Nothobranchius furzeri: one gene and its partner. The protein of the gene in region 1 interacts with the protein of each later gene in a pairwise test. Links are inferred from orthologs where the notes say so. Each region holds a gene or a part of one and is shown in the gene's direction. Other genes may lie near its edges.

Region 1 (8,404 bases):
TACTGTACCTCTGCCGTCTTAGCCCAGTGGGTTTCAGTAGACCAGCTTAACCAGCGCGTTTTCATCTGGGAGTGTCGTGCTGTTTCCAGGTGGTGTTGTCTTATATACGGCTTCAAGGCTCCACCTTAATCTCCACCCTCGTCTTTGCATAAGACAGGTCTTCCGTGTTTTTAGAGAAACCTGCTTGACTCCTCTCCCTTTATGTTCAAAAGGTGAATTCCTCTGACTGATTTGCAAATTCAGCAGCTGGTAGGTCAAGTGAAAAGGCAGCATCTGCTAACTATACACGTGGGAGATGCCACACCCTTTTTCAGGGTTTCGTCCCTCTGCGCCATGCCTGTGTACGGTTGCATTACAATTCCCAGAAACGGCAGCCAGCCCTAAATGCTAGACGATGAAAATTACTTCTTAGAAGTACCGCTTTGGCTGACAGGTCTGGCTTTGTTTGCTGTCTGCTGCCACCTGGGATGTTACCAGTGCTTTGGGGGTTTTGTGAATCAACAGGAGACATGTGCTGGAAGTGTTCGCTGCTGAAGTCTCAGAGTTTGAACGAGGCTTGATAGTTAGATGACCTTTTGTTCTCGTGTCAGATAATCTCAAATGATTCTTCTGCTTGATGCTATTGCTCTTCCAGGAATAGACAAAAACCTGGATTATCCTTTTTAAAGACAAAACACCTGCCATTATACCACCAAAGTAGTTTGTTTTACAGAATCCTGAAGTATCAATTTCATGATCTGAAGAGGTCCGACTTGGTCAAACTGTTTTTTGTCGTAGTTAAGGATTTTTCTGTAGTTTTTATCTTAACCTGGAGATCATAAATGCGTGGTTCTCACACATATTGTGTTGCCCTCAACGACTGTGGCACAGTTTCTTTGTCCACATTTCCATTGCCAGAAAATGATACGAAGACTAAAATGAAAAGGCGTTTGTTGTTTAAAATATAGAGAATTTGCTTTGCAGGAATTGAAGCGAGTAAACAAAATGTGTCACTGGATGCCAGCTGGTATCTCTTACTGGTTTGTTTGGTTTTTGCAAAAGTGGACAAGGATGATTATGATGTATGTTAGATGTGGAAAAACAAGACCATAGGATATGTTTCTGACTGTATTCTGATCCCAGGTCAAACTGTTCATTACAGTGATATATTCTTTAGGGTTAGGGTTAGCCTAATTACGGAAATGAATTATTATTCTTTGGTTAATAATTAATCAGTAATGTTTGATCAGTGACAGAGGGTTATGTGCACTTATACACACCATGCAGGGCACTGAAATCATGTTAAAGGTAACTGCATTCACATGTCTTTGTTCCATAACAACAAAGCTTTCTATCTCTGAGAGGGCGTGTTCTGAATTATGTTAAAACCTAAACTCCTCGGTTCAAGTTCAGTTCTTGAGCTCACCAAAATCTCTCCGTGGCGACGAGAGTTCCAGAGTATCGGGTCAGCCGCTCGAAACCTCCACCAAAGCTTTTCTGTCATGCAGAATTGCTTCAACAAGAAACGCCATCTGCAACAAGCTGACGCAAAACTCCTTCAGACTTAATTTAAGATGCAAACTCAACACCTGTGTGCCTGCGGCAACTCTAGGACCAGAGAGTCTGTACCACTCGGATCTCCCCTACCGGACCGAGTAACCAGAGGCTGACAACATCCTCCCTTGACCTCTGGATCCAAACAGAGGGTTGTCTGAACGGTGAGGTAGAACACATCTGTATGCCCGTTCCTTATTAAGAAATAATTTAGCTTAGCTGCAAAACAAACTCTTTCACCCAGAATGCGTTTTTCTCTCTCTAAGATAGAAACCGTCTGAGACCTTCCATTCACACATCCAAACACACACACATCTCATTTTAGTTCCATCCAGACACAGGCTGCTTTAATACCAAGTTTTAATATCAAAGCTTTTATAAATTGTCATTTATGAATTGTCTTTTAAATTGTCATCTTTAAATTGTTAGTAATAAATTCTTAACTTTTTAAACCTGACTCTTCTTTGAAATAAAACACAAAGTGGTGTATATTTGGTCACTGAACGAGCAAAAATCTCTTTAAATCTTCTGAATTAATAAATAAACATTTGCTATTAATTTAAATCTCTTAAATTAAATATTAATCTTTTGATTAAATATAGACCAAGCCAGTTGGTGTATGAACTTCTATCGATTATATAAATATCCGTGGATATATATATATATATATATAATATAAGTTCATTTGCCAATTAGTTTGATTTTTCTCAGAATTTAGCAAAGCTGGATAGCAACAGCGCTAATAAGTTCTAGTTATGTAGATTAACTACGCTACACTCATAAAGCAGATATATTTTGCAAATGTCTGCAAATTTCTTTATAATCCCTCCATGTAAAGTGTATAAAACCTCCACATGCAGCACGATGCTGACGTCATCATACTACAGCAATGCCTGTCAGCAATACCTGGCATTCTTGTGAGGATCGGCTATAAATTTGGACAGTCTAGCCTTCATCTTTACTCAGCCTGGTTGCTTTAGTGTGTATTTAGAAAAATAAAGCAAGTCATATTAAAGATGCGTTTACTTTTGGATGGTTTTCAGCTTTAGCCTGTTCACGTGACTTAAAGCTGCAACAGCAAATCTGCAAAACAAGCTAGCTTAAAACAAAAACACAGTCCTGGAACTCTCATCCCTCCTGACGGGTATCTTCCCCAGGCCAAGTCTGCCAGATACCAGAACCTGCAATGCCAGAGGAAACAAGAGGGCTCTAAACATCCGTCTCCATTTTCTATGTCCAAACGTCTTTTGTTGTCCACAACTTCAAATGGTGTTTTTCTTTTTGGGACTGCTAGTTTGTCCTTAAGTAGAAGTGGTAGCAGCCGGCTGTTTCTGCTTCTCTGACTTTACTGAGCGGAGAACCTGTCACACCCGCCGTGGTGTTCTGTTGGGGGTGGGAGTGAAAAAAGGTCTCGATCAGTGAAGCTAAGGATAGAATTTTGATTATGTCATTCCACCATAGTTCTCAGCTACAAGCTAACTGAGGTTTGCTGGTGCTTTTAGCCAGAAAAACTCGGATGAGGGACTCTAGGTTGAGGTTGAAGCGCGCATCAACGCATCGAGCTGCAGAGTTTCTGTGGTCTCCCTCCGAGAGCTCCACAGGTGAAAGCACAGCCTCACACTGCAGCGACTGAAGCCCGGTGCCAATTGCACATCAGATCTAGTTATCCCTTACTTTTATTAATATATTCTTAACTTCTCTGATTTAATCTCCTGAATGATTTAGAAAATGTTTTCCCTTTTTGGTTATGATTAATTACCAGAATTTCCTCTTTCTGTCAGGATGTCGGACGGATGAAGATAGAGCTTTTTGCAGACGTGGTTCCAAAGACGGCTGAGAACTTCAGGTAAGACCTCTGTCTGCATCACAAAATTTCCCAAACAGAAAAACGACGCAGTTTAAAAAGATTTTACTAATGTTTTTATGATCTCTTACAGGCAGTTCTGCACAGGAGAGTTCAGGTACGGCACTAAATGGGCATTGGCTTCTCTTGGTAAATAAACACAGATAACTGGTTAGTGAACAAATCATCACAGGTGCATTATTCATTCTCTTTGCAGGATGATTTCATGCAATGTTTTAAGTAATGCAAAAAACTAATAAAAGCAATATTGTACACAACTTGGTCGATAGCGCTCAACTCAGAAAGCACAAAGACCAAATCGTGCACAAACCAAATAATGTAAATTTGCTGTCATATTTGAAAATGTTATTGGTTTAATTTTAGAGGCTTTTATTACTCACACCCGACAGTGGCTCTGCTTTGTTAAAGGCAGCTATTTAAAGTGACAGAGGCTGATGTAAGTATGGTCAAACACGGAAGGAATGGGAGTTTGTTTAACAGGTTGCAGGTGTGTTTAATAGTCTGCAAGACAAGTAATGGATCCTTTGCAGCTAACATTTGTTCTAATCTCTAACCTTTGCTCTGCAGGAAGGATGGTGTTCCAATTGGGTTCAAAGGCTGCACCTTCCACAGGTAAACGGAGTAAAATTACCTGTGACATTTCAAAAAAGTTACAACTCTCATTTATTTTCCTGTTTAACCCGACTGTTTTGTAATTAAAACCTTGTGAAGAGGGTTGAATCGGCTCGTTTAAAGAAGGAAGTCTCATAAAATTGAAGTGTGGGCTGATGGGTGGAGCTTTGGCTTCCCCTTCACGCTTCACTCGAATAAAAACTATCGATACAAACCTGTTTTTAATATCACCCAAATGATATAAGAATACATGTTTTTATTTTGTAGCATCCTGTAATGCATTGAATTAACTGATTATCAGCACATATGAATGCAGAAATGTAGCCAATCTGGACCATTTAGTTGTATTCTTGCACATTTGTAAAGAGAAAATACATCAGTAAACATTTCTTCTACGTCTTTCTGAATACTCTCTCATCTCTGGTAGAGGGAGACACACACTAACGCGTTACACATACACACAGCTCTGCCAGCTGCGTTCCCAGAAAACAGGTCCATCACACAAACGCTACCCAACCACAGCAGAACATGTACAATTCCTTAAATGAAATTGGAAAGAAAATGGAACATTTCGCCTGTGACACTAGCTAGCCTGGCTCTGGCTTAGTTTCTTATTTGAATGCTACAAGCCAAGAAGAATGCCTTGGTGGCCTGCATTGTTTGTACAGTAAAGTGCTGTACAAATAAAGTGAGTTGAGTTGAAGAACACGTCATTCGTGCAGAGGGGAGAGAGACGGTCAGAGGGCAGTTTGAGTGGGTTATGATCCTGATGGCAATATGGAAAAATTCCTCTGGACAAACATCATCCACTCCACCTGTAACAGATCAGTGCAAAATGTTCAAAACTGATGCAACTCAGAATTCAGCAGGCTGTTGTGCAAGGAAATGGATGAAAACGTTAGTTCTATGGGTTTCAATTAGAAGATCCCATTGTTGAAGTTTACAAACTGGTTCAGCTGGTTTGGACGTTTTCTTTTACTAATCTTTGTCTAAAATAGTGAAGAAGCTTGTTTGGTGGGTTTGGATTGATGCGTCAGAACACAAATCAAGACTTGTGATACAAAAGTCTTTAATCATAAAAATAGAAGATTTTTTGACAGTCAGCACCATGCCAAGCTGACTTGGTTTTTTTTCCCTATCAAAACTAACACCTACCAGCTGTCAGCACGGTGGTGGAGGGGTGATGTTATGTGCTCGTTTCACAACCCTGGAAGTCTATCATAGTTTGATCTATAGTCAAATGGGATCCTTTCGTTTGGGAACTGAAATCTGCCTGATAAGTAATGCAGCAAGAAAGTGAATTGAAGCACATCAGATACAGAAAGATTGAGCGTCCATTTTCCTCTACTTGTCTGGGGTGGGGTCACAGGTGCACTGGCCTAAGCAGAGAGGCCCAGACTTCCCTCTCCCCAGCCACTTGGGCCAGCTCCTCCAGGTGAATCCCAAGGTGTTCCCCTGGCCAGGTGAGAGACATAGTCCCTCCAGCATGTCCTGGGTCTACCTTTAGGTCTCCTTCCGGTTTTACGTGCCCAGTAAAACCTCTTGAAGGAGGCGTCCAGAAAGCATCCTAATCAGATGCCCGAGCCACCAACTGGCTCCTCTCAGTGTGGAGGAGCAGCAAATCTACTCCTAGCCCCTCCCGTATGACCGAGCTTTTCACGCTATCTCTAAGGGAAAGCCCAGCCACCCTTCAGAGAAAACTCATTTCAGCTGCTTGTATCGGTAATCCCATTCTTTTGGTGACCACCCAAAACGTGTAACCATAGGTGAGGGTAGGAACGTAGATCGACCGATGAGTCGAGAGCTTCATCTTCCGGCTCTCCTCTCTCTTCACCACGACCGACTGGAACAATGCCCACATCACTGCAGACTCAGCACCAATCTGCCTATCGATGTCATGCTTCATCTTTCCCTCTACAGTGATCCCTCGCTACTTCGCGGTTCGTTTATCGCGGATTCACCACTTTGCGGATTTTTTCTTTGGAGCCTTATTCAAGGGAAATTCGCAGATTTGCGGTATTTTTCACCAATTCGCGGTATTTTTCTATGCGAAATATCAAGAAATTCCTGTTTTTTTTTTCATCAATTTCATCATAAGATGCACTTTTTGTAATAAAACTATTAAAAAACCAAGTAAAAAAAATTTTTCTTGAGTTTTACCCACAAAAAGAGAATGTGCTGTACTGTAAATATGGTGTCCCTACTTCGCGGATTTTCACCTATCGCGGCCAGGTCTGGAACGCATCTACCGCGATAAACGAGGGATCACTGTATCTATCCCTCACAATTATCTTGGGGTCTTGTTCACTGAGTATTATGGAACTTTTTTTATTTGTTCTGATTTGCTGAGTTAAAGAAATGCCAGAGGAGGTACTTGTTCATACAAAAGATGAGCCAACCATCATTTCTTAACATTTAGCTACTTTGAGGACAGACTTCCTTGTCATTGTTTGCTTTTTTCGTAAAAGTCTTTCATAAGTTTCTGTTGGACGTAATGTGCTTTTTAAGCTGGTCTTTAGTCCAATATCGGACCACTTAAGTAAAGCCAGTTAAAGCTGAGTTATGAATCATCCAGGAGTTGTAAAAATCCCTAATCCCAAGAGATGAACCGTGTTGTGTCGACACACAAGAAACATCTTGGCTAAGAAAACCCCGTCTGGCACATGATCAGTACTGTAGCGTGAGCAGGGCGATTCTCAAATATCTATTTGCTGAAAACTTGACATTTAGAAAATGACCAACTGAAGAATTAAGCAGCTCCCGTTTCTTACACACTTGTCTTTCTGACCCCAGTCGTCTTTTGAAGATAAGGATATTTTTAGGCCTGGCTTTTCTTCTCTGCTTGTTTCTCTTAAAAGAAATGTGGATTTCTAAGAAAGAAAAAGCGATGCACTCGAGGAATGATTCAAACCAGTTTGTTGAAACCTGAAAAACAGGATGGATGTAGTTGAAAAAGGTGCTGAGTGGAATGCCCGAGAGCCAGGGCTGTTACTGATGAGGAACTGTCACCCGATCCATTTTGCATTGCCTCGGGTCGGAGTGCCAGAATATTTATTTTAGTTTATATTTAACCCTGTTTACAGGAAGGGTCCCTAAAAGACAAAAGGGCCATTTTGGAAGTTAGAAGTTTTCAACCCTTTCTGCATTTTCCCTCCATATGAAACACAACTAGATAGATAGATAGATAGATAGATAGATAGATAGATAGATGGATGGATGGATGGATGGATGGATGGATGGATGGATGGATGGATGGATGGATGGATGGATGGATGGATGGATGGATGGATGGATGGATGGATAGATGGATAGATGGATAGATGGATGGATGGATGGATGGATGGATGGATGGATGGATGGATGGATGGATGGATGGATGGATGGATGGATGGATAGATAGATAGATAGATAGATAGATAGATAGATAGATAGATAGATAGATAGATAGATAGATAGATAGATAGATAGATAGATAGATAGATAGATAATAGATAGATAGATAGATGATAGATAGATCAACTTTATTGTCCAACTCAAAGGCAGAAATTCACCTTTGACATGGCTCACCTTACAATACAATCCATATCGCATTCACACAAATACATAAAAAGACAATTAAAAGGTATTAGAATGTTATCATCGTAAAAAAATAAAACTGTAAGAATTCAAAATTGTAATTGCGCTGGGAACAAATAATTTCTTATAGACACCTTTCTTGGCCAATGGAACCCTGAACCTCCTTCCTGACGGAAGTAACTGAAAAAGTGGGTTCAGTGGACGGGTTGAGTCTGCACTGATCAGGGTAGCCTTCCTGTGCACTGCTCGCTCGTGAAGAACAGAAAGTGGGATCTGAGGTGAACCTGTAATTTTGCTGCCTAATTTAACAATGCGAGAGAGTTGTGTTTTGTTTTTAACTGTAAGAAAGGTATACCAAGCTGTAATATTGAAAGTTGGAATGGATTCAATCAGTGGTTTATATTATACAATTGTTAGGATGTCCTTGTTCACATTGAGTGCTCTAAGCTTCCTTAGCAGGTGGAGTCTTTGCAGCGCTTTCTTGTAGACCCCGTTGCTGTGATTTGCAAAGGACAGGTGGTCATCAGTTTCTGCTCCCAGGTACCTGAATGACTGAACCTGCCCCACAGGCTGACCCTGTATGCTGAGGGGTTCGAACAGGGATGTGTCTGCCTCACCGGCTGCCCCACAGCACATGTCTTTAGTTTTTGAGATATTCAGCCCCAGGTGAAAGTCTCCAAATGTCTGGACCAGATTGCTGACCGCTGCTGATATTTAGACAGGTCCTCCGATGTCTTCACTGATGCCACCAATGCCATGTCGTCTGCATACTTCTACAGGGCCATTCTCTCACTATGGCACCGGATGTTGTTTGTGTTG
Region 2 (7,233 bases), on another chromosome or scaffold:
TGTGGGGGAGTCACTAATGCTAACAGTTAGCTTATACTAGTCGAGACATTCTCTGCTGTTTCTTGGACGCTAAATCAACAACAGCCTTCCCCATCATGAGTTAAATTGGGTGAGTCCATGAATGTTAAGTGACAGTGTGATGTAGATCTGTCAGGTTTTTCAAATCCTTGAGATTCACCTATTTTCTTTCAGAAGCTAATGCAGGACAAAAGTGTAGAAGACTACATGAAAAACTCAAAGTGACCGATTATAATCAGAAATAATAATTAGAAAATGAATTTTCAGTGAACTATAACTTTGAAGACACATTTAGTTTTAGCTTGCTTTTAGCAATCCCTAGATTCTGTTGTTAATTCACTGTCGTAAAACCGAAAGTGAAACTCTCTCCTCTCTTTGCGTTTGTCTTTTTAACACCTTAACCTAACTGCTGAAATGTCTCGTCGGCTTTTGTAGTTTCTACAGGAGCTGTTCATTACTAAATGAAACAAATCAGCTGTGTTCTTCATCTAAAAGATGCAGGAATCATGTACCGGAAGAACACTCTAGCTATAGCATGTCAGATCCATTTTACTATTGAGTAACAGGGATTGGTCAAGGGTACTCTGAAGTTGCAAGCATGGTATTCTGGGCACAGGGGGTGGTGAGATCTGAGTGACTTTTCATGAAGCCCTGGCGTTGGCACATATTGGCTCAAGGAAATTATTTAAAGATAAAAAAAGTTGCACAGTATACCTTTTAAAGAAAATCACACTTATAAATTAATTTTCTGATAAACACTTTTTTACGACCCAGATTTTATTCTTGCATTGCCTAGACAGTCCTAAGATTTATTTTTCACCTTTTTGCAACAGACACTCTTGTACTCCTTTAGATTAGCTCCTGACTGAAACTGTTCAGTGTCAACCAAAATGGTTTTATTCAGTTTATTTCCATTGCTTATTCTTTTTTTTCATTCTGTATTTGTTGTTGTTGTTGTTGTTGTAATGTTCTACATTGCAGAGAGATGCACAGAAAAACACATTGTGTCTGATACAGTGGGTGCGGAAAGTATTCAGACCCCAGTCCAATTTTCACTCTTCGTTTAAATTGCAGCCATTTTCTAAAATCAATGAAATTCATTATTTTCCTCATTAATGTACACACAGCATCCTATATTGACAGAAAAACATAGAATTTTAGAAATTTCTGCAGATTTATTAGAAAAGAAAAATCACATGGTCTTTGCTCAGTATTTAGTAGAAGCATCCTTTTGAGCTAATACAGCCATGAGTCTTCTTGATAAAGATGCGACAAGTTTCTTACACCTGGATTTGGTGATCTTCTGCCATTCCTCCTTGCAGATCCTCTCCAGTTCTGTCAGGTTGGATGGTGAATGTTGGTGGACAGCCATTTTTAGGTCTCTTCAGATATGCTCAATTGGGTTTAAGTCAGGACTCTGGCTGGGCCATTCAACAACAGTCACAGGGTTGCCATGAAACCACTTCTTTGTTATTTTAACTGTGTGCTTAGGGTCATCGTCATGTTGGAAGGTAAACTTTTGGCCCAGTCTGAGGTCTTGAGCACTCAGGAGATGGTTCTTGTCAAGGATATCCCTGTTCTTGCCTGCATTCATTCCCTCAATTGCAACCAGTCATCCTGTCCCCCTGCAGCTGAAAAACACCCCCACAGCATGATGCTGCCTCCACCATGCATAACAGTGGGGACTGTATTGGACAAGTGATGAGCAGTGCTTGGTTTTCTCCACACATACCACTTAGAATTAAGACCAAAAAGTTCTCTCTTGGTCTCACCAGAGATGGGAATCTTATTTTTTACCATCTCAAGTCCTTCAGGTGTCTTTTATCAAACTCCATGCAGGCTTTCGTGTTTCTTGCAGAGGCTTCCAATGAGCCACTCTGCCATAAAGCCCTGACTGGTGGAGGGCTGCAGTGATGGTTGACTTTCTACAGCTTTCTCCCATCTCCTGACTGCATCTCTGGAGCTCGGCCACAGAAATCTTTGGGTTCTTGTTTACCTCTCTCACCAAAGCTCTTCTCCCCCGGTAGCTCAGTTTGGCTGGATGGCCTGCTGCAAGGAGGGTTCTGGTCGCCCCTGTCTTCCATTTAAGGGTTATGGAGGCCACTGTATCTCGGGGTCTTGTTCACGAGTGAGGGAAATCTGGAGCACGAGATCGATAGGTGGATTAGTGCTGCGTCTGCAGTGATGCGGGCGTTGTACCAGTCTGTCGTGGTGAAGAGAGAACTGAACCAGAAGGCGAAGCTCTCGATTTATCAGTCGATCTACATTTCTACCCTCACCTATGGTCACGAGCTTTGGGTAGTGACCGAAAGAACGAGATCGCAGATACAAGCGGCTGAAATGAGTTTTCTCCACAGAGTGGCTGGGCTCTCCCTTAGAGATAGGGTGATAAGCTCAGTCATTCGGGAGGGGCTCGGAGTAGATTCGCTGCTCCTCCACATGGAGAGTTGAGATGGCTCAATCATCTGGTCAGGATGCCTTCTGGACGCCTGGTGAGGTTTTCCGGGCACGTCCAACCGGGAGGAGGCCTAAAGGGAGACCCAGGACACGTTGGAGGGACTATGTCTCTCAACTACGTCTGTCACCTTGCCAGGGAATGCCTTGGGATTCCCCTGGAAGAGCTGGCCCAAGTGGCTGGGGAGAGGGAAGTCTGGGCCTCTCGACTCAGGCTACTGCCTCAAGGGCCGGTATTCAACACATTTTAGTTTTAACCCTGTTTCAACACACCTGATTTCAAGCAGCAGGGGATTAACAGGCTTTTGCAGAGCCTGATGAGCTGCTGCACATGTGATTCAACCACTGAATCAAGTGTGTTGGAGGAGAGAAACCACTAAAACGTGCTGGATACTGACCCTCCAGGCTCGGGATTGAGTAAAGCCTGGGGCACACCGGAGGCAGACCGAGATTTTGAGAAGTCAAGTGGTCACACGGGCCGCGCCGCTGAGCGCTTCTTGGAAAGTCACGCAATAGTCACAACATTACGCAGGATTTGAGAACAGAAAGCGGGAAGTGACTCTATTGTTTATACGTGATCAGACTTACCGCCATGATTTGTGAGACTGAAATTCATAAAAAATGGGTACAGTAAGTACGCTGTTTATGTGAATATTTTAAGATCAACAGTACTTTAAAATTATCTAAAATGCGGCTGGGTTTGTGCCGGCGGTTGAGTTTGTGCTGTAAAGCCGTTCCGCGCCGTAATGTCTGTTAAGTACTCCACAATGACATAAACAGCCGCAGCACTTGAGATAGAACTGGCTCCTATCTTCAGCGCTTAGCCGCGCCGCGGCGCTCCCCGTTTATCCACTCTCGTTAACTATAGTGGCTTCTATTTAAAATGATGGTGCAGTGTGGGTGCGACAGCGCGTCCGCCTCCGGTGTGCCCCAGGCTAAAGCCTGGTCTAAATACTTAGGACCATGTGATATTTCAGCTTGTATTTCTTTAATAAATATTTAATTACATTTTTTAAATTCTGTGTTTTTCTGTCAAAATGTGGTGCTGTGTATACATTGAGGAAAACATATTTTTTAATTGATTTTAGCAAATGGCTTCAACATAATGAAGATTGAAAAGTTGACCAGTGTCTGAATACTTTTTGTACCCACTGTACACATGACATAAACCTAAAGCTGCACTAGTCATAATCTTATGGCTGATATTATGCTTCTATTATATAATTTTTCTGATATATTCACCAGGCCTTGGAGAGAGGATACAAAGTGGACTTTTGTGAACCAGAAACCAGCTGGAAGTTTGATCCTCTTGAGTTGGAAAAGTACTTTTGTCTAATCAGGCACAAATTTTCACAATTTTAATAAACCTCACACGCATGAACAGCATGAGCATGATTTGATATTTCTCCTCCAGGCGGAACAAACATGGTGTTCCTCAGGAAAAGATCAAACAGATGATGGATCGTTTTTCCTCGCCCGTATCCATTGACATCATCATGAGTTCAGAGGAGCCAGCTCACGTCAACCAGAGACGTTGGTCAGAGCAGCAGCAGAACAGGAAAAAGCCACGTTTTTATTAGTTTAATGCAGGACCACCAGCACTGGTGTACACACACCACTCTTGTGTTCTGTAAATGTATTTTTTTGAAGAAGTCTCTTTTTTTATGCTTTCTAAAGATCCAAACATTGTTTACATTTAATATGAGAAGACTGATGTTCAAATCTTTTGACTTGTAAAATATGAAACTAAAGGTAAAATAAAGAGGCTGTGTGTTAATTACCAACCTATTTGATCTCCCAAAGTGTGTTTGACATCTTCAGATTCCTGTAAATGATCAGGTGTGCCTCAGCTTCAGTTCTTAGTCTGTCTTTCCTTAAGCTGTTTTTTTTCTTTAAAGGTGCAATAAGTAACACATTTACAGTGAAATAATCACAAAATAGTCTACTTAGCCAGCTGTGGTGGTTGTCAGTTTTTTTTCCCTTAAAAAGGTGGAAGAGGGATATAGTTTTTAATTACAATCCAGATTGCCTCCATACGTCAACGTTTCAGAGGCAATGACATGAGAGCCCACAACGTTGCCAAGTCTGCGCTGACAAATTCTTCTGCTCCAGCATTTGTAACTTGACACTGTGGGGCAAAAAGCAGCAGCATAGGGAGCCTAAGTCATGCCCATCTTCTTCTTGACCATGGGCCCCCAGAAGAACGAAAAAATAAATGCAAGTCAATGGGGCTAAAATGCTATTATCTAATTCCTCTCGTTTTGTGCCATGGATTTCACATATGATGTCTGTAAATTTTAAAGACGAATGTTGAAACCAAGAATGCAATTATTTTCGAACGGAGGGAAACATTATTTTAGGTTTGGTGTGAAAATAAGTCCAGGACTACAAATGTGCATCATAAAAGTGACGTCATCAATCCAGACACCGAGAAAAACTGAGGGAAAATGGCTGTAAGTTTGGCGAACTTAAAATCCTTCCTTCAGGAGGACAAAAACACCATAAATCTGGCCATTTGGTAAGTAGCAGCTATGCTAGAGGAGAAGAGATTCTGTGGTGACATCATATATGCAACGTGCCAATATCTAATTTGTAGTCATGCTAACTACGAACTTTTACAAGCTGATAAATCTCAAAGTACGTGACAGGGATGGCTGAAACACCCATAGTTAGTTTTCATTTAAATTTCAGTACAACATATGTGCAATCCAGGGCCTAAGGCAGGATTAGAAAATAACTTTTAGCCCCGTTGACTTGCACTCATTTTTTTTGTTATTCCGGGGACCCATGAGCCGACCGGAAAGGGAGGAGAGTTAGGCTCCCTATTGCTGAAAGAACTAAAGCCAGTAACAGGATCAACCCAGAAGTTATTTCTAGTACTCCCAAGGCCATGTACACATATAGCTGGGTTTTTGTAAAATCAAACATTCTCCTCTGCCCATTTAAGAAAAAAACTTTGGTCCACATCGCCTCATTTCCAGCAAGAATATCCGGTGCACTGTGATTAGCAATGCCAAGCCTGTCGATGGCAGGAGCTCCCCAAATCTTGAGCATCTTTGCCAGAGAAAAATTCCCTACTTACTTATTTTGTGTGACTTGTATTCATTCGTCATCTAAAATCTTGCTGAGATCTGACTTGATTGCTTTGAAACATGGACTGCAGTTCCCAAATTTGGCCACAGAATGTCCTTCTTACTTCATGTTCTGAAGAGCTTATGACAGACTTGGGTCAGCTTTCTTCGTTTCAGCCTCACAGTTTGCAGACTTCATTACAGGTTGTAGCACTTGTAATAAATATTTTTTCCCATTAAGATTATATCAATAAAATGTTATTGCTAAAACGATTGAGCATCCTATTAGTAGAACGTGACTCCCCGTGAAACAGACAGTGAGATAAATTAAGGTAATTTCGATCCGTAATAGTGTTTTATTGATTTGTCTCTGAATTCCTTTGTGTTTCTGAAGCCTCTCTTCCTCCCTTGCCTCATAAACCACTAACAATATTTTGTTTGACTTTTATATTCCATCCATCAAGTTTCCTCTGCTCATCCGTGGCCTAGTCACAGTGGCAACAGCGGAAGCAGAGAGGCCCAGAAATCCCTCCCCCCAGCCACTTGGTCCAGCTCCTCCGGAGAATCCTAAGGCATTCTTGGGTCTGACGAGAAATGCCAGTCCCTCCATCGTGTCCTGTGTCTTCCTTTAGGTCTCCTCCCAGTTGGATGTGCCTGGGAAACCTCCACAGAAAGGTGTCCAGGAGGCATCCTAATCGGATGCCTGAGCCGCCTAAACTGGCACTTTAATTACTTTGTCCAATTCCAGAAGTTATTTGTCCAGCAGTGTGTTTATTTTCACTGCTGCACATTATTTAGTCAGACTTATTGGTCCATTTGTTTTAGAAATAACTGATTGACTTTCTAGGAAATATAGTGTATTTTTTTCTGTTTTGTTTCTTATCATGACAAAAAAATCTGTTAACTGCATTTGGTAATAATTCATGAGGTGAGCCGTGTGACCTTTTATATGCTCTGGAATGATCTACTTATTAGACAGGACAAGATGCACAATCGCATCTCCAATAAGCTGCAAATTCCTGACAAAAGGTTAATGTTTGCATCTTCATTAAAACTGTTATCAATATTGGAACTTTTAATTAATTTTTTTTGTTGCAGTTTTATGTCAGCTCTCTCACAGATCACCTTTGACCAATGCAGAAAACTACCAGTAAGACTCATTTGAGCAACACTTACACAAAAGGCAGCTTAACAACAGGATATCAGGAACAGGGAAATGCATGATGTGCATCAGTGCAAAATGAGGCCAGCTTCTCTTAGGCACATTAAAGAAACCACGAGAGCACACAAATAGGCAGGTTTAGAAAGGAGAAACTCACTCAAAAATTCAAAATTTTATTTATTTTTTGACTAAAGCTTTCTATAAATTGAACTGAGGTGTACAAATAAAAGCAAGTGGTTGATTTTAAGCATAATCCTGTATTGTATATGATCTGCTACATTCGAAAGCTTCGTTTATTCAGATATTATTCTACCTGGGTGATTGCCTGTACCACAGAACGAAACACAAACATACTGACGAATGTTGGTTATTCAATAATTTTGATTGCACAGATCAAACAGGCCTCCACCAGGAAAACACCTGTGCTTTTCTGCGTATGTGTCATAACTTTTTTATGATGTTGTACGAGCCAGCAGCACCATATGTGTTGCATTTGGCAGGTTGTGTCTGGCTTTACAAGCGAGCGAG

What was found.
Region 2: the proteins of ppih (region 1) and n4bp2l2 interact in binary tests that used the Homo sapiens proteins (3 or more experiments, as listed by UniProt). The two-hybrid records come from large-scale screens. The link is inferred for Nothobranchius furzeri from reciprocal best matches to the Homo sapiens genes PPIH and N4BP2L2.

The regions. Positions count from the first base shown.
Region 1 is NC_091755.1:32,524,709-32,533,112, reverse strand, and holds part of ppih (peptidyl-prolyl cis-trans isomerase H), read left to right. Parts: intron 1-8; exon of another isoform or gene 9-542; intron 543-3,314; coding exon 3,315-3,379; intron 3,380-3,470; coding exon 3,471-3,494; intron 3,495-3,964; coding exon 3,965-4,009; intron 4,010-8,404. UniProt on the Homo sapiens protein: PPIase that catalyzes the cis-trans isomerization of proline imidic peptide bonds in oligopeptides and may therefore assist protein folding. Participates in pre-mRNA splicing.
Region 2 is NC_091753.1:42,458,294-42,465,526, forward strand, and holds the end of n4bp2l2 (NEDD4-binding protein 2-like 2), read left to right. Parts: intron 1-3,717; coding exon 3,718-3,794; intron 3,795-3,886; coding exon 3,887-4,052; 3' UTR 4,053-4,260; downstream 4,261-7,233.